Coturnix japonica: one gene and its partners. The protein of the gene in region 1 interacts with the protein of each later gene in a biochemical or structural test. Links are inferred from orthologs where the notes say so. Each region holds a gene or a part of one and is shown in the gene's direction. Other genes may lie near its edges. The genes, in order: GSK3B, KLF5, RICTOR, NIN, NFE2L2, LRP6 and CTNNB1.

The links.
Region 2: of the proteins of GSK3B (region 1) and KLF5, one has a biochemical effect on the other in vitro, tested with the Homo sapiens proteins (2 studies listed by BioGRID). The link is inferred for Coturnix japonica from reciprocal best matches to the Homo sapiens genes GSK3B and KLF5.
Region 3: of the proteins of GSK3B (region 1) and RICTOR, one has a biochemical effect on the other in vitro, tested with the Homo sapiens proteins (2 studies listed by BioGRID). The link is inferred for Coturnix japonica from reciprocal best matches to the Homo sapiens genes GSK3B and RICTOR.
Region 4: of the proteins of GSK3B (region 1) and NIN, one has a biochemical effect on the other in vitro, tested with the Homo sapiens proteins (2 studies listed by BioGRID and IntAct). The link is inferred for Coturnix japonica from reciprocal best matches to the Homo sapiens genes GSK3B and NIN.
Region 5: of the proteins of GSK3B (region 1) and NFE2L2, one has a biochemical effect on the other in vitro, tested with the Homo sapiens proteins (2 studies listed by BioGRID). The link is inferred for Coturnix japonica from reciprocal best matches to the Homo sapiens genes GSK3B and NFE2L2.
Region 6: of the proteins of GSK3B (region 1) and LRP6, one has a biochemical effect on the other in vitro, tested with the Homo sapiens proteins (2 studies listed by BioGRID, with this or other methods). The link is inferred for Coturnix japonica from reciprocal best matches to the Homo sapiens genes GSK3B and LRP6.
Region 7: of the proteins of GSK3B (region 1) and CTNNB1, one has a biochemical effect on the other in vitro, tested with the Homo sapiens proteins (11 studies listed by BioGRID and IntAct). The link is inferred for Coturnix japonica from reciprocal best matches to the Homo sapiens genes GSK3B and CTNNB1.

Annotation. Positions count from the first base shown.
Region 1 is NC_029516.1:71,650,846-71,654,920, forward strand, and holds the start of GSK3B (glycogen synthase kinase-3 beta), read left to right. Parts: upstream 1-1,275; 5' UTR 1,276-1,500; coding exon 1,501-1,588; intron 1,589-4,075. UniProt on the Homo sapiens protein: Constitutively active protein kinase that acts as a negative regulator in the hormonal control of glucose homeostasis, Wnt signaling and regulation of transcription factors and microtubules, by phosphorylating and inactivating glycogen synthase (GYS1 or GYS2), EIF2B, CTNNB1/beta-catenin, APC, AXIN1, DPYSL2/CRMP2, JUN, NFATC1/NFATC, MAPT/TAU and MACF1.
Region 2 is NC_029516.1:140,002,837-140,005,381, reverse strand, and holds the end of KLF5 (Krueppel-like factor 5), read left to right. Parts: intron 1-65; coding exon 66-244; 3' UTR 245-2,045; downstream 2,046-2,545. UniProt on the Homo sapiens protein: Transcription factor that binds to GC box promoter elements. Activates the transcription of these genes.
Region 3 is NC_029547.1:11,217,096-11,221,327, reverse strand, and holds the start of RICTOR (rapamycin-insensitive companion of mTOR), read left to right. Parts: upstream 1-1,432; 5' UTR 1,433-1,496; coding exon 1,497-1,545; intron 1,546-1,702; coding exon 1,703-1,750; intron 1,751-4,232. UniProt on the Homo sapiens protein: Component of the mechanistic target of rapamycin complex 2 (mTORC2), which transduces signals from growth factors to pathways involved in proliferation, cytoskeletal organization, lipogenesis and anabolic output.
Region 4 is NC_029520.1:52,545,041-52,548,540, reverse strand, and holds part of NIN (ninein), read left to right. Parts: coding exon 1-60; intron 61-1,131; coding exon 1,132-1,257; intron 1,258-2,064; coding exon 2,065-2,134; intron 2,135-2,301; coding exon 2,302-2,517; intron 2,518-2,658; coding exon 2,659-2,772; intron 2,773-3,500. UniProt on the Homo sapiens protein: Centrosomal protein required in the positioning and anchorage of the microtubule minus-end in epithelial cells. May also act as a centrosome maturation factor.
Region 5 is NC_029522.1:14,071,236-14,074,735, forward strand, and holds part of NFE2L2 (nuclear factor erythroid 2-related factor 2), read left to right. Parts: intron 1-1,747; coding exon 1,748-2,017; intron 2,018-2,185; coding exon 2,186-2,278; intron 2,279-2,888; coding exon 2,889-3,068; intron 3,069-3,500.
Region 6 is NC_029516.1:66,027,037-66,031,139, reverse strand, and holds the start of LRP6 (low-density lipoprotein receptor-related protein 6), read left to right. Parts: upstream 1-1,303; 5' UTR 1,304-1,585; coding exon 1,586-1,640; intron 1,641-4,103. UniProt on the Homo sapiens protein: Component of the Wnt-Fzd-LRP5-LRP6 complex that triggers beta-catenin signaling through inducing aggregation of receptor-ligand complexes into ribosome-sized signalosomes.
Region 7 is NC_029517.1:39,920,525-39,924,024, forward strand, and holds part of CTNNB1 (catenin beta-1), read left to right. Parts: intron 1-2,617; 5' UTR 2,618-2,665; coding exon 2,666-2,678; intron 2,679-3,161; coding exon 3,162-3,389; intron 3,390-3,500. UniProt on the Homo sapiens protein: Key downstream component of the canonical Wnt signaling pathway.

The DNA of each region.
Region 1 (4,075 bases):
CGTGAACCAATCGGCGGAGCGTAATCGAGACAGCGCGCCCTGCGATTGGCTGTCTGGCTTCGGCTCCCTTCGGGTTGGCTCGGTAATAGCCGGAAGAGAGGCTTTCTTCCTATTGGCCGCCCGACTGCGCTGCTAGGGCGGTGGCGGCGCCTTCCGATTGGGCCTCCGCCTGGCTTCGGGGGGATTCGGGTGCGTCCGTAAGGGCTTCGCGATTGGTTCCGATCCGTCACAGGCATTTCCGTAACCGCCTCGGGATTGGTCCCGACGACGCTCGGGTATTTCCGTCAGGGCCTCGGGCTGGGGGCTAACGAGTGCGTCGGGCGCTTCGGGTGGCTATTCACAGAAGGCGCCTAGGGCCGTTCCGCAGCGTAGGGCGGCGACGGGCATAGGCGGCTGCGCGGCTTTGGCGCACACACAGAGCGCAGCAGCGGGAGCCCGGCACGCAGCGGAGGCAGCAGCGGGGACAAAGGGAGCGACCAACAGAAACGGGGAGGGGGGCCCGGCGAGAGGCAGCCGGCGCCAGAAGGGAGCGGCGGGAAGCTTCAGCCGGGCGGACGGCTCCTCATGCGCCTCGGACGCCCGGGGAAGCAACAGCGAGAGCCGCCGGCGCTCTGAAGCCGGCTGAGGACGAGCTGGGAGCCAACGCCGCCGCCATGGCCCGCACCGCCGCCGCCGGCCACCGCCCGCACTGCAGCCTGCCCAGCGTGAGCCGCCGCCAGCTGCCCCTGCGGGAGCAATGAGGAGCCGCGCCGGAGCCGCCTCAGCGCCGCACTGAGAGCACACACACACACACACTGCGAGCCAGCCGGGCACACCGCGCCGCTTCACACCGCTCCGCCCGCCGCGGATCCCGCCGCCGCCGCCGGATCCCGTTGCGCGGGGCCGCATCGCCTCCCGTCGGCGGATCCAGCAGCTCCGAGATCCCTCCGCCGGGGGAAAAGTAGTCCCGCCGCCTCCCTCCCTCAGTGGCGAAGGGGGAAGGAGAGGAGAGGGCAGGAGGCAGAGAGAGGAAGGAGGCGAGGAGAAAAAGAAAAGAGAGAGAGAAAAAAAAAGAAAAAAGGCAAAAGACATAAAGGGGAAAAGGAGAAGAGAGAAGCCGAGCGGCAGGATCGGAGGAGCCGGGCCGCGAGCCTCCGCCCCATGTGACTGGGCTGAGGGTGGGGGCAGCGAGGCCTAGCACCGAGCACAGCCCCGCTGCTCGCGGCCGGCCCGGGGGGCTGCGGCTGGGAGGAGGCGGCTCTCGGACCCACCGGCACTGCGGGAGGATGGCGCTGTGAGCGCCGGGAGGAGCGAGGCCGGAGAAGAAAGGAGACGCGAGGAAAGGCCGGCGGGGAGAGCGAGAGGGGAGGGGGCTTCCCCGGGGGGGAAGGGGCCGGCGGTTCATGTGGCACAGCTCGCCCTTCGCCTCCCGCTGAGCCCGCAGCACACAGCCCCGCGAGCAGCCCCGAGGAGAGCGGAGGAGGCGGACAGCCCGACGGGACGCAGCCGGAGCCGGAGACCATGTCCGGGCGGCCCAGGACCACCTCCTTCGCGGAGAGCTGCAAGCCGGTGCAGCAGCCCTCGGCCTTCGGCAGCATGAAAGTCAGCCGTGAGTATCGGGCCGTTCCCTGCCGCCCTCCTGCCCTGCCTCGCGTTCGTCTCGGGTGGGCCGCGAGCTCGGCCGGGCCTGCGGGGGACACAAAAAGGCCGCTCCCGGCCCTGCCCTCGGCCCCTGCCGGCCGTGCCGTTTCGCCTCCGCGGGGGGCTCCTCGGGGTTACCAGCACCCCTGTTCTGCCTCCTGCCTCGGGGAGGAGGGGATGAATGACGGGCACGCGGGTACGGCCGTGACATTGGTCCCAATGAGGTGTTTTGTGCCCTCTGAAGGAGGGAGATGGAAGAGGTGGGGGGGGAGCTCTGTATCAGGTGTGGGAAGCCCACGGCCCGGCCTATTAAAGGCGGAAGAAAACGGGGGGCTATTACAAAGGCCGTCCGAGGGGGTTACAAAGGGTGTATCATACGCTGCTAATGATCCCCAACGGGAGGGAGGAAGAAAATCCTCATTGTGGCTTGCGAGTGGTTGTTTCGAGCTGCCTTGCCCAGGTTTTCTCAACGGGGATATTTTGAAGAACGAGGCCTGTGCTTTATTCCACACGGGCATGCTGGAAATGATCGGTGCTTGATGGGTGCCCACCCTTTGCATTGCAGCTGGTGGGCTCGGCCACACTATATGAATGGAGAATGGGCATTGCTTCTCGGTACGACCAGAGAAAGGCCCAGCTGCGGGTCACCTACAATGAACTATATCTCTTGAATGGCAAATAATTCCTGAAGGTTTCTTTGAATACGTGCCTATTAACAGTCAGATCATTGCCGATTCATGCTACGGGCTTTGTTTTCAGTAATATTCCCCCCTTTTTTTTTTCCCCTATGGAAATGGAGGGCTGGGTCTTTATGGGACCTGGAGCGCTTGATGGGCGTTAAGGTTTGATTGATCCGTTTGATATCCCGTGTGGTCACACCTGGCACTGCTGTGTGCGGGTTTGGTTCTTGGTGTTGGAGGCTTTTCAAGCCGGGGCTCTGCCCGGCTGGGGGTTTTTTGACAGATGAGAGAAATTCTGACGTTTTTCTGCATCAAAATGTACTTCCGCTGCGGTTGAAGCCTTGAGGAGAATATTGGGCTGAGGTTCTGGAGCTGCTGCTTTGTATCTGCATGATCAGGGTGCCTGCTGCACTCCGAGTGCCCTTTATACTCTTATATGCTGCTAAAACGGGTTGTGTTTGATCTGGTTCAAATGTATTAAAGATCTTAATTCACACGGGGGGGGAGGGGGGAAGGGGGAATATTTAAGACTCCATTTTAATGTATCGATTTATTTCACGTGAGCGTGGAATAGGAAGCAGGTTTTGTCGCTGGGTATTTCTGCAGGTGGCTGTTTAACGCTATAGCCACACTTAGCCCTGCCACGCTCCAAAGCTAAATTTGCCTTATTCGAGCTGTACGGCTCGATTCTTGAAAGGTCATTGATGCTCCTTTCCTGTTTGTTTGAGGTCAGAAACCAGACAGATGCTCGCCTTCGAAGCGGGTGCTAAGTGATGCAGACTAACAAGTTTGCAAATACGATTTGATCCCAAGTGTGGAACACGGAGGGAGAAACAAAGGCCGTAGCATAAAGCACACGCACTTGTGATAACCCCCCCCCCCAGCCCCTCCTCCCCAGTCGCTCTAGTCATGTGCTCCTGGTCCTTCTGCTGTCTGGAAAAAAATGTCAGAACAAAGCAAGAGAACCGCATGCAAGGACTGTGTGGGAAAGGCAGGCGTATTTTTCACTTAATCTATCCGTGTAAGACAGTGCAGGAAGTTTCGACTTCTTATTTTCCTTTGTAAGAGAGCAGCGCCACTGATTGCCAGAAAGGGTGATATTTTACTGGTTCTCTTGAGATTGTGAAGCAGATGGAAATGGATGGATTGCTGCTCTTTGAGTCCTGTAGGCAGCTGTTGTATCCCCATCTTGATTCAGACCTTCTCCAGGTCACCAGGAAGCAAAGCCTATCCTCTATGCCAGCCTTTTTGCTCGCCTTTGTAAGGCTGGGGTGGTGGTGAAATGAGGTGGTGAGGTCACGCTTGCTTTGGTGACCACCTTCTAGCTGATCCCGGCAGTAGTTCCATTCCTTTGAAAGGATTCAAAGGACGAGGTGGAAGCATTGAGGAAGGAATGGAGGAGGGTGTGTTGGACCTTGTGTTAGAGAGCTGGAGTGTGGTGATTGCTCTTCTGCTCAGGATATGGCAGGCTTAGGCCCTGGAACAGGCTGCCCAGTGAGGTTGTGGATGCCCCGTCCTTGGAGGTGTTCAAGGCCAGGTTGGACGGGGCCCTGGGCAACCTGATCTAGTAAAGGTGTATGTTTGGTGGCCCTGCCAGGCAGGGGGGTTGGAACTACATGATCCTTGAGGTCCCTTCCAACCCGGCTCATTCTGTGATTCTGTGAAAGGGGGGAGTGGCCATTGACTTTTCCATCTTTTTAGACTTTGTGCTCGGAAGTTGTTGAGAAGCTTGAGCCTTGAATGGAAGGGGATTCCCATCAGGGTCTTGTCCTCTG
Region 2 (2,545 bases), about 68 Mb from region 1:
ACCCTGTGTCGGCACTCTTCAGAAGATGCACAGCTGACGTTTCTCTTCCTTCTGTCTGATTTCAGGTGAAAAGCCGTACAAGTGCACGTGGGAGGGCTGTGATTGGCGATTTGCGCGCTCGGACGAATTAACGCGCCATTACAGGAAGCACACCGGGGCTAAACCCTTCCAGTGCGCCGTGTGCAACCGCAGCTTCTCTCGCTCTGATCACCTGGCTCTGCACATGAAGAGGCATCAGAACTGAGAGCCATAGTTGTTGCCGAGGCCGTTCTGTATCTATGCAATTTCCTAATGACTCTCAACCTACAACTAAAATTAGTTTAATTTTTGAGGATGGATTATCCATTTAAAAGAAATCTCAAAACTGGAAAATGTATATTTTGTATATTTATGCAGAAAAAGGGAAGACACTATCACAGTACCAGAGTGTTCAAGTCATTTGTTTGCTCACATGGTGTATATGGCTTTAGTCAGCAGGTTTCATCTCTTTACAAGTATTATGTCTTGACACACGGCAGCATTACACATATTTTTTTTTTCTCTCTAGGTGTTTTGACCAAAGCAGTGTCATTATGGTGACGATGTTTAGTAAACAAATTAATGAGAGACTATAGATGAATGGACACAGTGGAAAAGCCATGCATTGTAATCTGTCAGGGTTTTACTGGACTTGTTTAGTACTTGTACTTTTTTTTAAATGTTAAGTCGTTCTGTGGAGATGAAATACGTAGAAAAATTCATAAACAGCCATAGAACAAAACATTTTGTTCTGTATGTTGCATGTTTGCTATGACAAAGATTTTGTAAATATGCAAATCAGCTTTTTAGGGTTAAAACAAAAGTTTTCTAAGAATTATTTGGAAAAAACAAAAAAAACAAACAAAAAAAAAACACAGTTGTTTTACATTTGTTAACACGGCACATTTACACTAAAAGTTATTTAAATACCTCTCAAACCAGTACCAACTTAGCTTCATTTCTCTTGAGAGAAATGAGCAAGGCATTCGGATGTTTTGTACCTGTTAACTCAGATTGTGTGCACTGAATATTCAAAGCAGGATTTTGTTTTCAAATTTCTTAAAAGGGTAAAACATTTAAAGTGAACTGGAAAGTAAACGTTGGAAGCTTAAACGGGGGGGTAGTTACAGTATAAAGAATGTTAAACCTCTTACTATAAGCTAAACTTAGTATCACTTTAAAAAGAAGGATTTAGGATGCAATTTTCATATACGGACATACTAAGCTGGTTCAGCACCAGTATGATCTGTTTTCATGTGGACATTGCGTGTAATTTACTAGAAGGTAAAGGATACAGTAATTTTATTTAAAATTACAGTGCAGTTTAGTTAATCCACTGTTCAAATGGATACGCACGGGGGAAAATTAACTGCTGACAAAGGTAGCTGAAACTCCACTGAAGTCAGTGAAGTGGTGCCCTTTTATGCTAACAGTGACTTTGATCCACAGTGTTCAGCCTTGAAACATTAAGTGAAGGGCCAAAGATGAGGTTAGCCTGTGCAGGATTTGGCCAGGCAACAGGAGAAAACGAAACAAACCAAGTAAAAGTGTCTGGAGTTCACAAGCTGTAATATTAAGCTGTCAACCAAAGGGTAAAATAAACAATCAAAATACCAAAAAAGGGTCTCGCAGGAAAATCTAGCGTTGTGAAAACTGTTGTTTGTCTTTATTTATTTGTGGTATATGATAGACTTTTTTTTTAAGACAATTTTACATATACTTGATAAATTATAGTTTTGTTTGTTATAGTTAGAAATGTTGCTCTTAATGTAAATAGTTGACAAATGATGTAAATAATTTTCTAAGGCTTCAAATGTTTATACGTGGAAACACATGCATAAATTGGTTGCTGTTTTGCTTCTTTTGCCTCCCCCCTACCTTATTTTTGTATTGTGGTATTTCCTATGCAAATGTTGGAGCAAACAGCTGTATAGTTGTAGAATGTTTTGAGAGAGAATGAAATGGTTTATATATAAAAGACTTTTTTTTTTTTTTTTTTTGCAAAATAAAACAAAGTGCCTAATGTGCGTTTGTGTGTTCTCTGTAGCTCCTGACAATTGTAAGTTTTGTGTTTTTGCAGGATGAGCTGGAAATCGCAGCAATATAAAGCCAAGAATGGCTGTTCTTTATAGGAGGGATTGTCTCTTTGGAAAGTACCTTGCCCTTCTGTGTCCAGCCCTCTTTAAAATAATAAATGTGAAAAGATTATTACTTCAGGGCTCTTCTCTGCCACTAGAACTTTAACAGAATTGTGCAGTAGCCTGAAAATAATTCCAGTAGTCCATCCACAGACACGTAGCTGGAAAGGAAAAATACTCATGGCATGTATACAAGAACTATAGGAGTTCTCTCCTACTTTCAAAATGGGTAAAAGCTGTTCACACCCATCTAGTGTTGCCCAAAAGTACTTTCTCCTCCCAAAGTCCCCTTCATGTCCCAGAAAAACAGGAGGGTCCCAAAGAAGTCTTATTCAATGTCATGTCCCCCCCAACAATCCACATCTCCTTTTCAGTATTTTTTATTGGAA
Region 3 (4,232 bases), on another chromosome or scaffold:
GGGAAAACAGGAAGAAACAAACAAACAAACAAAAACAAGCAAAGAGTTCAGAGAACTATTTTGATTATTAAACAGTGTCACATTTCTGCAGGCACAGAATGCTAGAAGAGTCAGCTGGAGTTTAAATATCACTCCAACAAGTCTTGATGTCCGTGCTGGAAAATGTTTTTCTACCACAAAGCAGTGTGTTTGTCTGACCATATATCTATTAGGGAAGAATTAAGTGCAGCATGGAACCAGCACTTCACATGCAGATTACAGGTTCAAGTCCAACTGAAAAGCTTAAGACAAGGCCATCACTCCACGGTGCTTCAAAGCTGATGTGAAATTAATGAGTCCCAGCAGCACCTCTAGTAAACAGGATGCAGTATTACTACCAGAAGCGGTGGTTAATTTGGCATTTTCAGGAAGTCAAGGGTTCCCTGGACATGAAATTTCAAAGGGAACCCCTGAGGCAAATTGATGAAACCATTAAAGCAAGTCTGCTACACTTTGGTCTTGTGTTAAGCATGAATGAGATCTTATTATTTCTACCTTTAAGTTTTGTGAACCCGGAATCCATCAAGGACATTAGTCTCTTGTTTAATAAGCGAAAACTGAAATAGGAAATTGTAGAAAAAGGCTTTATAGACTAAATAAAGGTGACATAATCCTATTAAAATAATGTTCTCATATGCATATCATGAGCTGAAAGTTGAAAGGAACGCCACAACCCCTCTGCTCTGGCTGTAGAGAGAAGCTACTTTTAACCATTGAAGTCAGTGCTAATTTTTAGAACACCAGTTTTTAGCGTGGTGGTTTAGGATCTGAATTGAAAGACAACCCATGACAAGGAGGGAAAGCCAAAGCATTGAAACTCACTGCAGTCGTTGGATCTATGCCTGTAGGGCCCATCCTGCACTTCAGCACGGGCTGCAGGGAGTGCATGTAGGGTGGGTTTCTGCCTGGAAAAGACAAGGAGGTGTAGGATAATCTGCTGGGTCTGCACAGGGCCCTCCTTCAGCATAAGCGTTTCACACATACGCTGATTTTATTAACAAATCTCAGGGAAACAAACAGGTCCACGCTGCAGGGACCCACCGCAACTCAAACAGCGCAACGAAGGGATGTTATTTTCCTTTTTGTTCTTAACTGCACACACAGGGATGCACGCTGCCACCCGTCATCCCACGAGCCACCACGGGGGCAAGTGCAGCTGTAGAAAAACGAAAACCGAGCACGAAAACCTCACAAAATAAACAGAAAACCCACCCAGAAACACCCTCTCCTGAGGGCCGGGCCCACAGTGCGACGCCCACAGCCACCTCCCCCCCCCCCCCCCCCCCCCCCCCCCCCCCCCCCCCCCCTCAGTGGGCGATGTGGGGGGGGGGGGGGGGGGGGGGGAAGGCGGGAGGCGGGGCGGGGCGGAGGCGCCGTACGCGACCGTGGCGGCTCCGCGGAGCTTTTCTCGCGAGAGCGGGCGAGGTTTCCGGTGTTGTGACTGCGGGGCCGTAAACATGGCGGTGAGCCTCCGCGCCCGCTCGCTGAGGCACCTCCGCATCCGAGGTAATGCGCCCGGCCGGGCCGCGCCGCCTCATTCCCGGTGCCCCTCTCGCCCCTCTCACCCGCTCTTCTCCCCCTCGCTGCCTCCTTCTGTTCTTCCCTTGGCTCTTTTTTCGCCGCCCGCTTAACGCGCTCTCCGCTTCTCTCCCCGTCTCCGCAGGTCGCAACGACAGCGGTGAGGAGAACGTCCCCCTCGATCTCAGCCGAGGTACGGCCCGGGGGCGGTGGGATGCGGGTCGCCGTCTGTCCCCTCGCCGCGTCCCGCCGAGGGGAAGCTGCCTGCAGCTCGGGGCCGGCCGAGGGGCCTGGATGCTGCACCGGGGGGCTCGGGGAGCGGGGCGGGGGCTGCCGGCGGGCTGTAGGGAGCGGGATTGGCTGTGGGAGGAAGGCTGTGCGTGGACCCGTACTCTGAGGAGACGGCAGGGTAACCCTGGGGGCGCCTCCGCGGCTGCGGATGGAGTCGCAGCGCAGCCTGGGGCCGGGCGGGCGCCCTGGAGGAGCCCCGCTGCTGCTGCTGCTCCCGCGGCCGCGCGTGTGGGTTTGCTGCAGCTGAGGTGGCCGCTCTGAGGTCCCCACTGCAGTGTTGGAGGTATTCATCTGCCACTTGTCTGCCGACCTGCCCTGCTACCCGCTGCTCTCGGAAGTACGCGGGGGATGAGAGGAAGGAAACAACAATAACGTGCTACACATTAACTAGTTCCCGCTTAGACAAATAACAGCTTGTTCCCTACCTGAATGTATTGTCTTGCTGCATGCTGGTGGGAGGGCCGGGCTCTCCCAAGAAGCAGGATAAATGCAGGAAACAAACTGCCTTCAGCAGCAGCAAGCCTCCTGTGGGCAGAAGATCTTTGTCTGAGGCAGGGGATGAAGTAGGAGCTTGCAGTACTTTATTGCTCAGCGCTAGGACAGCTGCACTCATGAATAGGTCCATTTTGCAAGGAGCTATACAAGGAAGTAACATAATCAATGAGCTGAAAGCAGGCTGTGAAACGTTGATACAGTGTACCTAGACAAGGGCTTTAACACTGTTTCCAACAGTATTCCCCTGGCAAAGTTGGCAGCCTAAGGCCTGGACAGCTACAATTTGCTGGGTAAAGAACTGGCTGCATGGCCAAGCTCAAGGAGTGATGGTGAATGGAGTTAAATCCAGCTGGTGTTCCCTAGGGGTCAGTATTGAGGCCTGTCCTGTTCAATATCTTTATCGATGACTTGGATGAGGACATTGAGTGTGCCCTCAGCAAGTTTGCAGATGACACCAAGCTAAGAGGAAGTGTTGGTGTGCCTCAGGCTAGGATGGCCCTACAGAGGGATCTGGCAGACTGGATTGCTGGGCTGAGGCGGGATGAAGTTCAACAAGACCAAGTAGTGGATCTTCAATTTAGTCACAGCAACCCCAGGCAATGCTACAGGATTGAGGCAGAGTGGCTGAAACAGTGTGCAGAGTAAAAGGACTTGGGGGCATTGGTTTGATGCTTAGCTAAACATGAGCCAGGTGGCCAAGAAGGCCAGTAGTATCCTGACTTGTATCAGATAGCATATCCAGCAGGAGCAGGGAGGTGGTCATCCCCCTTACTCAGCTCTGGTGAATCTCCAGCTTGAGAACTGTGTTTAGTTTTGGACCCCTCAGTACAAGAAAGACATCAAGGTCACGGATTGTGTCCAGAGAAGGGCAGTGATGATGGTGACGGCACTGGAGCATGAGCCTTAGGAGTTGCAGCTGGGGGAACTAGGATTGTTCAGTGTGGAGAAGAGGAGGCTTAGGGGAGACTTTATTGGTCTCTACAACTACCTGAAGTTTGTGGTGAGATGGGGGTTGGCCTCTTCTAGATAACAGTGAAAGAATTAGAGGGAATGGCCGTAAGTTGCACCGGGGAGATTCACATTGGATATTAGGAAAAACTTCTCTGAAAGAGTTGTGGGAGCTGGAATGGACTGTCCAGGAAGGTGGCTGAGTCATTGGAGGCATTCAAGAAGCATTTGTGTGGTCCTTAGCGTGGTACTAAGGGACATGGTTTAGTGGGCAATATTGATTGTAGGTGGACGGTTGGACTAGATTACCTTTGAGGTCTTTTCCAACCTTACTGATTCAGTGTAAATTCTACATAAAGGAAGTATTAATGCTGGCAGTATCAATAGTGCTTTCAGCTTGAAGTTGGGCCGTATCAACAGTTTCATCTCTAAATATGTTTTGTTTGTTTTGTTTTGTTTGTTTGTTTTTGGCTACTGTTTATTTTTAGAATTTTATTCTTAAACAGTTTTACCTTGGACTGAAAGCTATCTGTATCTGTATGTATCTAATTTAGAAATGCATTTAGTTCATGGGAAAAGTTCTGAGTTTTTTTCAGTTTAAAGGAGCAGAGTCTTGTGTTCTACCTCCTCATCATGGCATAGACACTATTGCTTTAGTGTCTTTAACATTAAAACCAGTGTAGCTTCATCAACAGAATGTGGGACGAAGGCTTAATAGTCCAAACACTTTACACAGCTGTTACTGTAAGTAGTGTTATCTGTTTATGAAATTCACAGAATCAGGATTTTAATGAATGTGTTTAGTAACCTTTTTACATTGTGTAACACTGAGTTGTTCTGATGTGTATTGTTCTTACACAAAATTTAAATGTGGGAGTGGTGACTTTTAGATCTGTTGGAGATCTTTTACTCAGGATTCAAAAGGCAACTGTAGCAAGGTT
Region 4 (3,500 bases), on another chromosome or scaffold:
GGTGATGCATGGCTTGCAAAGCACGTGCACTGAGCTGCAGCAAAAAGTTGATCTTTTGAGGTAATGTACGCTTGCAGAGCTTTGTGGGAAGCGTGGCAGCCCCACAGCACTCCAGCTTGCTGCCTGCTCCACGTAGAAACTAACCTAGTGTGTCCTGCTGACCATCCATAGCCCTACTGACCGCCCAGCAGCTGCCACATTAACCCCTGTAGTTTAGCTCTAGAAAGCAGTGCCTCAGAATCTGACTGCTGGTAGGTGTCTGAACGTGGATAACCATGGCTGGAATAAACGTGTGCCTTGTTCCTCTGAATGCGACTTAGCACAACATAATACCAGCGACTGATGCAATTGCCTTTGCAGTGTGTATGTGGGACAGCAGGGCCCTCTGTGTTTTAGTGTCTAAAAGATGGTGGTTATGTTTTCAGAATGCTTTCAGCTTTTACTAATATCAGCTCTTTGTTCTTTTCCTTTCTAGCACTGGGTGTTACTTGAAAAGCTACGATTGTTTTGCTTTTTCTAAATAACAGAGTTAACACTAAAGAGTCACAGAGCCATAGAATGGTTTCACAGTTGGAAGGGACCTTTCACGACCATCTGCTCCCACTCCCTGCAATGTGCAGGAACACCCACAGCTCCATCAGTGCACACAGCCCATCCCCTGACCTTGGGTTTCTCTTGGGATGGGGCACCGCTGCCTCTGTGGGCAACCTGTGCCGGAGCCTCTCCATCCTTAGTGTAAATAACTTCTTCCTTACGTCCAGTCCAACTCTCACCTCTTTTAGTTTGAACCTGCCACCGTGCCAGCAGTCTGCTTATGGTGGTGCTGAGCTCTTCAAAGTCACAACTATGTTACTGGTACCTTAAGGACCAGAAGGTGTAGTACAGTATAGAAGTGCAAAACTTCTACTGGCTATCTTAGGTAACTAACTTTGTGCAGGAGTTTTGTACAGCTAATATCCCCTTTCTCGCAATCTGGGAAGCAGTCTATATGTAAAACCTATGTACAGCTCATATGAATAACCCAGCTGCAGCTTTGTTGCTGAGGATCACAAGCGGGTCAGGATTTCAGTGCCTTCTCTCCTTTGGTGATGCACAGATGCTGTTCTCATATGTCTCATCTCTCTGCCACAGATGTGAGGCTGAGAAGCTCAGAGAAGAAAATGCCATTCTGAGAAACAGAGTGACGCTGCTAAACGAGGAGGGCAGTGCTTCCAGCCTGAAACTGAGGGAGCTGAACGGATCCCAGGAGGAGATGCGGTAAGGACTCCATGGGACCACATGTGCACCTTCAGGCTCTCACTGCAGAGTCACATCCTTTCTCCTAAAGCACCTTAGGTGTTGCCTGGACTTTGAAGCAAGCAGACTGTCTGGTGCCACCAGCAATCTTTGTGCTTTCCCCTGGCCTACAGTTTCTCCTGCTCAATCTTAGTGCTGAAGGAGGAGCTTAACCCGTGGGCTGTATCATAGGATGGCCTGGGTTGCAAAGGCCCACAGTGCTCATCCAGCTCCAACCCCCTGCTGTGTGCAGGGTCACCAACCAGCAGCCCAGGCTGCCCAGAGCCACATCCAGCCTGGCCTTGAATGCCTGCAGGGATGGGGCATCCACAGCCTCCTTGGGCAACCTGTTCCAGTGCGTCACCACCCTCTGGGGGAAAAACTTCCTCCTAAGATCCAGCCTAAACCTCCCCTGTCTCAGTTTCAAACCATTCCCCCTTGTCCTGTCACTGCCCACCCTCACAAACAGCCGTTCCCCCTCCTGTTTATATGCTTCCTTCAAGTACTGGAAAGCCACTATGAGGTCTCCTTGCAGTCTACTCAAAGCTAAACAAGCCCAGTTCCCCCAAACTTTCCTCATATGAGAGCTGCTCCAGCCCCCAGTCTTCTAGGAAAGAGATGTATGGGGGTGTCAACGAAGCAGGTACTCACCAAGCCTGTGCAAAGCAGTGATGCAAGTGTAAAATAAAAATCCAGAATGACCATTTATTGTGATGTCAACCAGCTTGTTTTTGCAGGCGTGTATATTAACAAGTGACCCTTATGCTGATGAGCTTTCCTTTTCCCTAGGCAAAAGATAGAGGCAGTGAGGAAGGAGAAAGTGGCTGTTCAGAAGATGGTCGACAATCTGAAAAAGCAGGTATGCAGACTGAGTCCATCAGCTTCTCTGGAGGAACATCACTGAGCAATCATCAGTCCTTTAGACGATGCAATCTGAAGGCAACTGATGTTACTGTAATTGTTTTAAAAATAAATCTATTGTTCAGTGCAAAATTAGTCCTAATTAACACTGCTCTCCCAATTCAGGTAGCAGATCTGAAGGCCAGGAACCAGCAGCTGGACTCTGAAAACACAGAACTGAGCCAGAGAAACTCCAAAAACCAAGCAGATGTGCAGGATCTCAACCAACAGCTGGCAAGGGTGCTGAAACAAAAGGAAAGGGAAGCAGGAAGATGTACTCTGGAAGAGTGGGAAAAGGAGAGATTGGCACTGAAAGAGGAACTAGAAAACAATAAAGTAAAGGTATGGGATAAGTGGCTCTAGTGGGATGGAGCAATTAGGAGGAATTAGCATCTATTCCCCAACCCATATCACTGATCATAGCACCCTCTGTGTAACATTACTGTCTCTCAAACTGAAATCTGAGCCTTTTACTTCTTGCAGTCATCAAATGTGGTGTCCTCCTTGGAGATGGAGCTGTCAAAAACAAAAGTTCAAGCTCATATGTTGGAGCAGGAAAACTGCCTTCTCAAGGAGGAGCTGGAGAAGGCAAAACAGGTATGGCACCCTATCCAGGTACCATCAGGTGTTGGCTTAGAGCCACCAACCTGTCTCTTCACGGGCTCTGCTCTCTTGATTGTAATGGAAATAGTTAATTTCTCTAACCAAGTGTCATAATGTAATGTATATTATCAACGACATTGTTATTAATCTTGCAGAAGCCTGTCAGTACAACATACAGCTGTTCAATTGTGGTTGGTTTTGCTTTCTTAGGCTTTGCCAAAAGTTAATCAAGAGCAGTAGATTTTTCACAGTTGGTCTTTGTCATTAAAGACCGAGACTTAAAAACTTTAATACAGCAACATATAAGGCTTTTCTAGCTCGTATTAGTAGGGTGGGCAGGAGAATATCCACTCCTCTGAGGGAGTGGTTGCTTCCACCATGTCCCCTAGCAAAACCAAAGCAATAGGAGTGCCACTTGGAGGGTTTGGCATCTCAGAACTTAAAAAGATAATTTCCTGGAGGGCTTGGCTGTTGTCCATATAAACATGGTTCATTTGGCAGTAAGGATATGATGATAATTAAAGATAATGAAGGCTACAAGTGAAAGTGAATTAGCCTTCCTGATTAGGGTGCTGTGAAGTCTTTGTCTTTTAAGCAGAGCACTCTTTTGATGTTCCCAATGCTTGGGGTTTATAATGGCCTTAAAAAGCAAAAGCAGATGAGATCTATTGAGTCAAGAGTGGATTGTGGCTCGAGTGTAATTAAAGACAGAAGGCTTGAGT
Region 5 (3,500 bases), on another chromosome or scaffold:
TCGTAGATGAATAATTCAGAAGCGAGCCCTAAAATCCAGATCCTGCAGTTTTATCCAGAGCATATTGCAAATGCTCTGAGACTAGGAAACAGTTTAGAATCTGCTGCAGAAGGAGACAGTGAGCAGCTGGTAAACTACTGGCCCTTAATGAATCTATACTACACTGCAGCATCTCCAATTACTGCGGGACTTAATTAGTTCATTTTACCCTCCAATCTGATGAGACCGAACATTGTCTTGGGCAGCCACTGCAATTATTTCAGCTTCTTCCTTGCTGGCCATTAAAGCTGAGTTTGGTCTCTCCCAGCAAGGTATAATATATATGTCTTAGGTGTCAGAATGCCCACGTTGTGTTACACGGGTATTATATAGAACTGCCTGATTCTAAAAGAAAGTAAGCTTTTTTTTTTTAGCAACCGGTAGAAGTACATCATGTAATGTGTATGTATGAGTACAAATGGCATTGAACTGTTAATGAAGAGATTATGGTCTGCTCAGATGTGGACTCCCACTAAAGCCATTGCCGTTGTACGGAAGCAGTCATTTTGAAAGGCAGTGTGATGTGACGTGTAGGTTACTTTGCTTCGCTGCCTGAAAACACTCTTAACAGAGAAAGGAATGTTTAATTTGATATGGTGGAAAATGTAATGTACCTTGGGTGTAACTGCTCACTGAATCAATCAGCAAAGTCCTGTTCAAGTGAAATATGATGTTTATATACTCGTCGTTGTAGTAAGTTGTTGGACTCCTTTCTCAGCCAATACAACAGGATGCAAGAAAACAGCCACAAGTTGTGCCAGAGGAGGTTTGGGTCTCACACTAGGAAGAATTTATTCATGGAGAGGGTGGTTAGGCACTGGAATGGGATGCTGTCGTGGCTTTGGCAGGAACAGACTTAATTGTTGGCTGATGATTTCTGTGTGGTGTATTTTTCTTAGAGAAGAGTCCAAACTTCACCAAGAAATATTGTTTGAACAGCATCAAAATATGAAAAATTACTCAGAGCCCAATTGATTAATAAAGTTTGACAGCTCTTGATACGTGGTTTATACTCAGCTCCAAACCAGTCACACTTACAACGTCAACTGAAATTAAGCTTGGAATTACAAATTTTTAGCGATAGTCTTAATAATTTTGCCAGGCACTCCCATGATGTTGTGTGAGGTGGGGACCTCCGGCTTTGTAGCACCGTTCTGCTGATCTTAAGATTCATACTTGATGCCAGGATGGACCATAAATAGTTAAAAACGCATTTTGAGTATGGTTATTGTAGCAACTCAGACAACTCCTTGTGATGTTCTTAATCAGCTTTTACAATTTGATAAGATTATACTGAAAAAGAATTACATGGATAAACTTCTTAATTTCTGTTTTTTTTTCTTTTATATCATTTTTTGTTTGTTTGTTCATTTTTTAGTTTCTTACTGTAATGTAATATCGCTTCATGTATTCTGTGGGATAACATAGGAAAGAATACTATCTGGTTTGTGTGTTGCCTTACCAACTGCAACAAACTGCTTAGTTTCCATGACCCAGTGTGTGGGCTGCAGCAACCAAACGTTCAGTTCACACACTTCAGGAAGGTCATATGGAGACATATTTCATTTAGACAATTTTGTAGGATTAAGAGAATGAATCTCACTTACATGAGTCTACCTGTTTAACGCAGAATTTAAAAGCCTTCTTATTGTTTTAAACCAGTTCTACTGGGGAGGAGGCTTGCTTCAAAACGGCATTTCTATTACAGGACATGAACTTGATTGACATCCTTTGGAGGCAAGATATAGACCTTGGGGCAAGGCGTGAAGTTTTTGATTTTAGTCAACGACAGAAGGAGTATGAACTCGAGAAACAGAAGAAACTTGAAAAGGAAAGACAAGAGCAGCTCCAGAAAGAGCGGGAGAAAGCCTTGCTGGCTCAGCTGGTGTTAGACGAGGAGACAGGTGAATTTGTTCCAGCTCAGCCAGCTCAGCACATTCAGTCAGAAAACGCTGAACCACCAATCAATTTTTCTCAGGTAAACTCTGATTGTGTTTGTGAGTGTGTTTAAAACACTTTTTCCATCCACAGGAGGGTATAATGCTAGTGGTTGCCTAAAATGAATTTGCATTTGTTGCTGTAATGGAAGATTGTTCAGTTATTCAAAGATGCAGTAACATTTTTTCTTCACTACTTTCCTGTTTAGAGCACAGATACTTCAAAACCAGAAGAGGCCTTGTCCTTTGATGACTGCATGCAGCTCTTGGCAGAAGCATTCCCGTTTATAGACAACAATGAGGTAAGCGCTCAGTGCAGCGGTTACACGGGTTGTGTGCCAGGGGATCAGTTTCCTATTTTCTCATACCAGGATGTGTCTGCAGTGAAATATTAATTCGTGATACAATTTGAGTGCTGTCCCTAAGCCATCTGTAACTGGAATAAAGCCGTGTCGTGGGCTTGAACTAGGGCTGTATCAGGAGCAGATGGCATGGCATGGTGCTCTTGTATTCCTTGTGCTTATGGAGTCCTGCAGGCCATTTTACACTGGCTGATGGCAGTCAGGCTAGTTGCTGCAAGTAGCAGAGTTGTGCAGTTTGTTGCAGTGAGCTTAGTTCAGCTCTCTGCAGTTGGTGTATTTGGGCTGCTTTACTTTGATGTACAGACCCAGACTATTTGGCGAGTAAAAATAAGATCTTCATCACTCAGTTCATACTTTTTCCTGTTTCTGTCCTTAATGTGAAATAATGTGAAAACTCATTTCATGTGAATACTTTTTAGATTATTTCATTATATATAGTAAATGCTTTCATTAAGAAATGCCTATTTATTCTGTAGAAATGGTAAAACAGCAAAAGCGGATTTTTGCTTTGGAAGATTCTAAGTGTATGTTTGTTTGTTCAACACTCCAGGCTTCTCCATCTGCATTTCAATCACTGGTTCCCGATCAGATTGATAGTGACCCAGTCTTCATTACTTCTAATCAAACTCAGCCACCCAACTCACCTGGTATAGTTCCACTTGCTGATGCAGAGAATATGCAGAACATAGAGCAAGTCTGGGAAGAGTTATTGTCCCTTCCGGAGTTACAGGTAAAAGTTTAGTATAATAATCATCAGAACTTCATCATGTTTGACAAATGATTGTTTGCATCTGTATGCAACCTGTTACAGCACAACCATGGTGGAAATAGGAGCTGATTGGAAATAGACACTTCTGAATTATAGAACTACAGCATAAATTGTTTCTGCAGTCATTACTGTAAACGAGTTTGGTTTTTTTTCTCCTAGTATTTAAGTATTTTAAATGCAAAAGTAATCATGTAGTATTTACATAAATTTTATCTAAGAAAAGGGTTTGTATAAATAAAAATAGAATGTACAGATATATTTCTAACAACACTTGGCTCTTCTGTTTATCTCATTTAACTATTTAACTGTATATTTGTTGGTTGAAACTAATTATATAATGTACATGAACTGAGTATTTCAAGGGAACAATAGACAGCACAAAATCACTGAGTT
Region 6 (4,103 bases), about 5.6 Mb from region 1:
TGGAGCCCAGGATCCCATTTGCTTTCCGAGCTGCAAGAGCGCACTGCTGGCTCATGTTCAGTTTCTCATCCATCAGGACCCCCAGGTCCTTCTCTGCCGAGCTGCTCTCAAAGATCACTCCTCCCAGCCTGTACAGGTGCCTGGGGTTCTTCCAGCCCAAGTGCAAAACCTTGCTCTTTGCCGTGTTGAACCTCATTAGGTTCACCCGAGCCCAGCTTTCCAGCCTGTCGAGGTCCCTCTCAACGGCATCGCTTCCTTCCACCGTATCGACCACACCACTCAGCTTGGTGTCATCAGCAAACTTGCTGAGTGTGCACTCAATTCCATCATCAGTGTCACTGATAAAGACTTATACTTCTTTCTCTAAAAAGTTTTAACTTGCAGTTTTTCCCCAGTAGAATCTCTAAGTCTGATATCATCACATGACTGCCAGAGTCTGATGTCAGAGCCGGTTTGCAATGCCTGGGCCTTTAATCTGGCCCAGATGTTATCTCCTACTGTAATCACAAGAAAAGCTATGAAAATATATGTTCAACAGATACGAAATTAAAAGTTAAATGTTTCCATAAGTTCCTAACAACCCTGAAAAATAATACGGACTTCTGAACGCGAGGATCTCAAATCGTGCTTCAAGTCGTTCTGCCTCGTAGCTTCATCCCACGGAACGGAGGAGAGGAGGGACGTCCCGTGAGATGTAGCACAAATACCGAAGTATCTTCGCCCACGGGGCAGCACCACAGAGATGCTCGAGGAAAGGCTGTGGCACCGCAGCCCGCCCTTCACTCGGGAACCACCACAGCGGCCGAGCAGCCCTCACCTGCGGGCGGAGGGGATCAGCCGCCTTTGTGCGGCCGCCGCCGCTGTGTGACTGAAAGTAGTCCCGTCCCTCCCGGGCCGGTGTTGCTCCGACGGCCGCATCGCACCCAAAAAGGCGGCGGAGGCGTGTGCGTGCGAAACACCGCGGAAATAGTCCCGCTGGAATGCGACGGCGGCGTCGGGCCGGCTCCCCCCGTCCGACCCCTGGCCCTGCCCACGGCCGCCCGTGGGCCGCGCCCGCCCGCCCTCGCCCCACGCCCCGCCCGAGGCAGAGCTGCCCGCCGTGCCGCCGGGCGCTTCCCCGCCGTCGTTGCGTGCGCGCCGCCTCCTGCCCGCCCGCTCGCTCCCCGCCCGAGAAGGCGGGCGGTGCGGCGGGAGCGCGGAGACGGGCGGGCGCGGCGCAGTGCGGGGCGGGGGCCAGGCCGGGCCGGGCCGGGGGAGGAGGAGGAGAGGAGGAGGAGGAGGAGGAGGAGGAGGGCTGTATCCCTGCGCCTGTGCGCGCCCGGCGGAGGCGGAGGCCGGGCGAGCGAGAGAGCGGAGAGTGGATGGCGAGCGGCCACGGCGGCGGCGCGGAGGCCGGCATGCAGGGGAGCGCTCGGTGCCGCTGCGGCGCGGTGGGGCCAGCGGCCTGCTAGGGGGGCTCGGCGGCCGCCCTTCGCCGCTGCCCGGCCCTCCTCCCCGCCTCCCCGCCCGCCGGGCAGCATGAAGTGGCAGCGGAGGGACTGCTCCTCGCCGCCGCCCCGCCGGTGAGAGCGCGGAGCGAGGGAAGATGGGGGCCGTCCTGCGGAGCCTGCTCGCCTGCAGTTTTTGTTCCCTGATGCGAGGTGAGCGGGGGGCGGGAGGAGGAGGAGAAGGAGGAGGAGGCGGTGGGGAAAAGTTGACGGCCGTGTTGCGAGGGGCCATGTTTGCCCGGGCGGGAGGGGAGCGGCCTGCTTGCCGGCGGGGCCGGCCCATTGTTGCCGCCTTCAAGTTTGGCTTTTTAATAAAAAGAGAGTAAAAAGGCACCGAACGGCCCCGGCTCCCTCCGCGGTCCCGGCCCTGCCGGCGGCAACGCGGCTCGGGCGCGAGTGTCTCGGGTCGCCCCGCCGCTCTTCGTGTCCTCGCCAGAGCTGTTCGTTTTCCCTTCTTTTCCCCTTTCCTCCTTTGCCCCGGCGGTTCGGGGCTTCCCCTAGAAGTGGGTTCCCCGCTGCCGGGCGGCTCCTTATCGGTCCCCGGTGCCCGGCAAGGGGCTGTTGCCGGTCCCCCGGGGCGCCTGGGTTCCGCTGCCCCCCTCTGCGATTCCTGCTTCAGGAGGAGGATTTCTGTCTCGGCGTTAAAACCGGGTTTCTCTGGGTATTGTGAACTTAACTCCTGCGTCGGTTTCAGTCTGTTTACTGTTGGGAAGAAATCACCTGCGATGTTTGCATCCATCATCTTGCAATTTTCTCATCTTATTCTGCGCTAGAGGATGCAAGTGGTTAATAACTGATAGTTCATCAACCGTGTTTGATATAGAAAATTACTCCGTTCTCAACATTTATCCACGAAAGATCAATAGAGGTGTTTTGAGCTGAAGGAACTGCTCAGTAGCCGGTTGTTCGATACTCCACAAAACAAAAAATTTTCCACTCTTCCATACTCCCTTCCCTTCTTTTTTTTTTTTTTTCCTATGCATCTGTTTGCCATATTGTATCCTGTTTGTAAGGATACAAGTATACTTATTTAAATACACTGTAACAGTTCGCTTCCAATTGGAGCGGGGAAACTTCAGTTTTCAAAAGTAAGGTTGGATCCAGAGCAGGGAGAGGAATAGTTTCCTGGTTAGTTTTATTATGTAACGACCATACCTGTTCTTAATAAACCACTCATTTGCTTCTCAATTGCAGTTTAATTCAAATGGCAGCACCATTGCATGATATCAGAGCTGCGACAGCCACTTCTTCAAATGAATTTCAGAACAGTGACGTGTCCTGCTGCTCTTTTTAGCGTATCCAGTGATGCTTAAATAAACTTTGAAGAAACATTCAGTTTGTGAACTATCTGGACTGTCATTTCTTCACATCTGTCGTCTTTATCTATTGCCAAGATGTTTGTATCCGAGCAATAGTCCCCTTTCTTCTGTTTCTGTGTGTTCCTTCTGTTGGATCTTCCACCTAAATTCATAGTCTTATGTTTGTGACGTGATAGTAATTTCCTTAATTGTTACTTAAGGATGATATAAGCAGCAGGAACAGCTGAACTCTGAAGAAACAAGAATAAAATATGAATGCATACATCCTTTTTAATAAACAACGTCTTCGCAGGCAGAATTGGTTTGAATAAGATGTGTTGAGTTCATACGAAGTGTCAGCTGTTCCTTAATGAGGCAGAGGCAGTGCCAGAATAAGTATGAATAAGTTTATACATGAAAGTAGAGCTGAAGTGATGACGTTCGCTACTTGGTTTGTGAATTTGGTGCTGTGAAGGCTGCTAAGTCAACTAACTCAGCATTGGAGTTTAAACTCAGCATTGGAGGCTGAAACCTGGAAAATATGTTTGTGAATTACAGCATCCTCTGTTTAGAGAGCTCGCCTCCCTGCTCTTACTTAACAACAACAAAAACAAACACAACACAAATGGACAGAGGCTTACAACTGAACTGTGATTATTAGTGCAAGAAAACTGGCTTATCAGTCTGGAAGGGGGTAAAACTGGTAGCCTGGAAGTGTGGTACCTTATGAACTAGTAAGGACTTGGAGAAGTACTGGACCTTTCTGATCCAGAACTGGAAGCACACCCCAAGGCACCTTTCTGTCGAGTAATCTGAGAACTGTGATAAGCAGACCATACTGACTATTCAAAGGCAGCTATTTAGATTAGTATGAGATGAGCTGATGTCACAACAGCTGGCTGTGGAGGTTTGTGTGAATGTGTTTCTTTGATTTGTTTCTCCCTTGTGCTGTACGATAGGAGAAAGGGATTGCTTTCCTGGAATCTGCCCAGTCTCACCCGCCCGGCCTTTGTGCTCCTCTCTTGGTCTTTGGTTTGATCTGGGGGACTCTGAACTTTAGCAGTGTTTCCTGAGGCTGCTCCTCTAGGATCTGGACAGACAAGTCAGTAAGACCTTTCCTCTGGTCACTCTGTGTGTTCTTCATGGCAGCTGTGAAACCAGTCAAGCTCTTGTTAGGTAACTGGCAATTGCAAAGAGGCAGTAGCAGTGGCATCACATCTGTCAGGGAACTACAGATAAGTGTGAAACAGGTTTCAACTTATTAAAAAGTGTTAAAGAGGTAGTTCTACCTTCCCAAGTATTCTTGGCTTGCTTTTGT
Region 7 (3,500 bases), on another chromosome or scaffold:
CTAGGCACTCCTTAAAACCAGTGAGGGCTACGGAAGTTGGCTATGGTGCAACATTTGTCTTTGAAATGCAGTAAATCCTTTTTCTTCATTATTCAGATCCATATTACTGACTTTGACAATGTAATGTTTCTAGTCCTGCCTCCTTCAGGAAACCTGAGGAGGAGCTGGATGTAAAGGAGCTTTATGATCTTTGTGGGGTTGGGGTTTTTCTCTTTGTTTACCTTTTACCTCAGGAGAGGCAACAGCACAAACCTTTGCACCTAGGCTGGGGTTGTTTCTGTCAGAGGCAGCAGTTGGCCTTAGTGATACGCACTGGGAGGAGTCAGCAGCTCCTCTGGGCTCTGTTCTACCCCCTGCTAAGAAGAGAAGGGAGTGGGAAGCGAGATACTGAAGAACGTTCAGTTGCAGAAACCCTAAAAGCAATCGGAACGTACTGCTTTTCCCTGGCTGGCTTTAATCTGTGGTTATTTTTAACTTTGAGGATTAAATCCAATTTCACATCTAAATTAGGAATGCAGGCTGGAATTGCTGGGGGGCTTTATGGTTGTATGAAATGCAGATTAGGACGTTAGAAACTTTGAGGTGCGGCAAGCAGGCTGATCTAAGGTCAGTGCTTCAAAGTCACACTGTATCTGACTGATAATGCGCTTCTGAACACTGGACTGTTCTCACTGCTAACCTGCAGGTGTTCTTCAGCTTTGTTTTTAAGTGTTATTGCCATTCAGTACTGTTCTGTTTCTGCATGGAAGGTGTTAGTGGGACTGGCAAAGTAATGTATGAGGCTTGTGAGGTGCTATCAGGATGTTGTATTGGCAGTTCTACTCACTTAGACAGCCAGGAGAACTTATAAATTAATGGTGAAGTGATAGTTTGAGTTAGTTTCTCTTTCCATTTCTTTACCAGTGCTTACTCCCAAACTTTTAACAGCGTCTGGAAAGAATTGTTTTGTAGCATTTAAGGTAGTGGTGGGGGGAAGGATGTGGAATGCATGAAGCAGATGAAAGCGGCTCATCTCCTCCAGGCTTCAGAGTAGGATCCATTTGGAAGCATCAGCATTTCCAACTGCTTAGCAGCATATTTACTGTATGTTGTGTTGTATCTTAAATCATCTCCGTGCTGCTTATCTGCTTCACAGGCAAATCTGCTGTCCATTTTAAAAGAGCCAGGATAGGGATGCTGCCAAAAATGGTGGGAGCGCTAAGTCAGGACAGGCAGGACTGGTGTTTGTGCAGCAGAGTAATGAGTTTGATCAGGAGCTGCTTGGGGTATCCTGCAAGTAGCTCAGACAGTGAAACGCAGCCTTTCCTCAGCATTGTGTAGTGCCTTTACTGAGAGCCCTGAAACTGCAGGCATGTCTTCTATGGAATTACCATTTACTAAAAGCTGCTCCTGAAGGAAATCCTTAAACTAAGTCTGTCTTTATATAGACTTTATACAAATATAGCGTCAGATGGACTTCGTTCTCCTGACACAGTACAGCAGACCTGTCCTTGCCTTTACTTCATTGTCTAGGAATGTTTTGATCAGCACAGCTCTAACACCGAGCACAGACTGAAAGCTGATTGCTGGAAGAGTTGGTTTCGCTCTCTTCACTAGTTACCACTACAAATGTTTCTATTTGGCTAGCTTCCAGAACAGGCTGTCATTGGCCCTGTGTTAGTGCTGGAAAAAAAACACTACAATAAAACTGATATAGACTAGTAACAAAATAAACCCCAAAACAACGGTGTTGGACTGCAGGGGGAAGGGGAGCAAGTGGAAAGCATGACAGCATCGACTGACCCATTGTGAAGCAGCAGCCTCAAGTTTCTCCTTCAGTGTTAATGAGGAGACAGCTACAGTTGTATGGTACTAGTGCTTTGGTAGTGTTTGGTGATATTAGATGGTGGTGCGTATGTGATTTGATACAGTATTTAATCATAGCTCAGCCTTCCATGCTTTGGATTTCAGGGAAAAAAAATTAGTTTGAATTAATGTATGTATCTGAAGCAGAATTTTTGATTTTTTAAGACTGGTTCAGTTTTCTATTTTAAGTTCACAAAAGAGTGTTTTTATATAGAAAGAAACCTTTCTTCTTGTGGTACAGGAAGTGAGGAAGGAGGTTCAGTTATGAATTTTTCTAACACTGAAATGATAGTAGATTGCCTTAAATGGTCGTTAAGCTTCCTTGGCACAAGTCCTTATTGTAGCCCCATATCAAGCAGTTTTGCTAATATCTTCAGAGTGGTTTTCTGAGAAGGGGATGAGCAATTCCAACATTTAGCTCTTGTTTCTGCAGCACATCCAGGCCATGTAATGTAATGTCTGTACTTCATCTTACACAAGGATAGAGAAGTAAAAAATGGCTCTATCACGGTCATTTTTCACTTCTTTTTCTCTTGTGGCTTTAAGGAAGTGAATGTATCTTACATATAGCCTGCCAGGAAAAGTCTACGTGATATATCTCATTCTTCTGTGTCCATAGGGGGGTTGCTAATTAGCACTGAATATACTCACTTTATCAGTGACGTGGCAATATGTGCTAAGCTTTAGCTTGCAGTTCTACTGTCAAGATATGAAATCCTGTCTTACTAGCTCTGATTAGCGTTTAATAAGTTCTAATCTTGCTCTTTTTTAGAGTCTCTGAAAGGTAGCAGGAAAGAGTTCTGGGAGCACAGCAAGGAACATGGCAACCCAAGGTATATAATTTATTACGCTTAATTTTTTATTAGACCCTACCAGTTGTAATAAAAAAGAGTTAATCTGGCTCCTTACTTTCCTTTTTAACTCTAAGTTGCTTGAATGGAATAATGCCTACTGTACAGCAGCATTTAATACCTTACCACAGTAACTTAAGCCTGTAGAGAGGTTTGTCATCGTAAATGTTTTGAGTCACTTAAGTATGGCCAGGTACCTAATCATACGATGTGGAAAGGGAGCCTTTAAGCAGCAGACTAAGTCATAACAACAGTGATTGCTCTGTATGCTAGTCAGGCTTATAGGTGTCTGCAGTGTTTTGATATAATGTCTCAGTTTAAAATGGCTGTCTCACTTTCTGTGCTACACTCAGCTGGGCTGAGGTAGTTGCTTATAATTGTTTATTTTACTGTAAAATCCTAGTCATGTCTTGAAGGACTAATACATGCTGTGACTAAACCAAATTGTTCAACTATTTCTTACAGCTGATTTGATGGAGTTGGATATGGCCATGGAGCCAGACAGAAAAGCTGCAGTCAGTCATTGGCAGCAGCAGTCATATCTGGACTCTGGTATCCATTCCGGTGCCACAACAACTGCTCCTTCTTTGAGTGGCAAAGGAAATCCTGAAGAGGAAGATGTGGACACAACTCAAGTCCTGTATGAGTGGGAGCAAGGGTTCTCTCAGTCCTTTACCCAGGAGCAAGTTGCTGGTAAGGCCTCCTCTACTACACCAGCTTGTTTAGATATGCAACTTAATAATACTGAAAATAAAATACTGAATCATTATTAATCTAGAAGAATGTTATTTCTGTTTGAGTTAA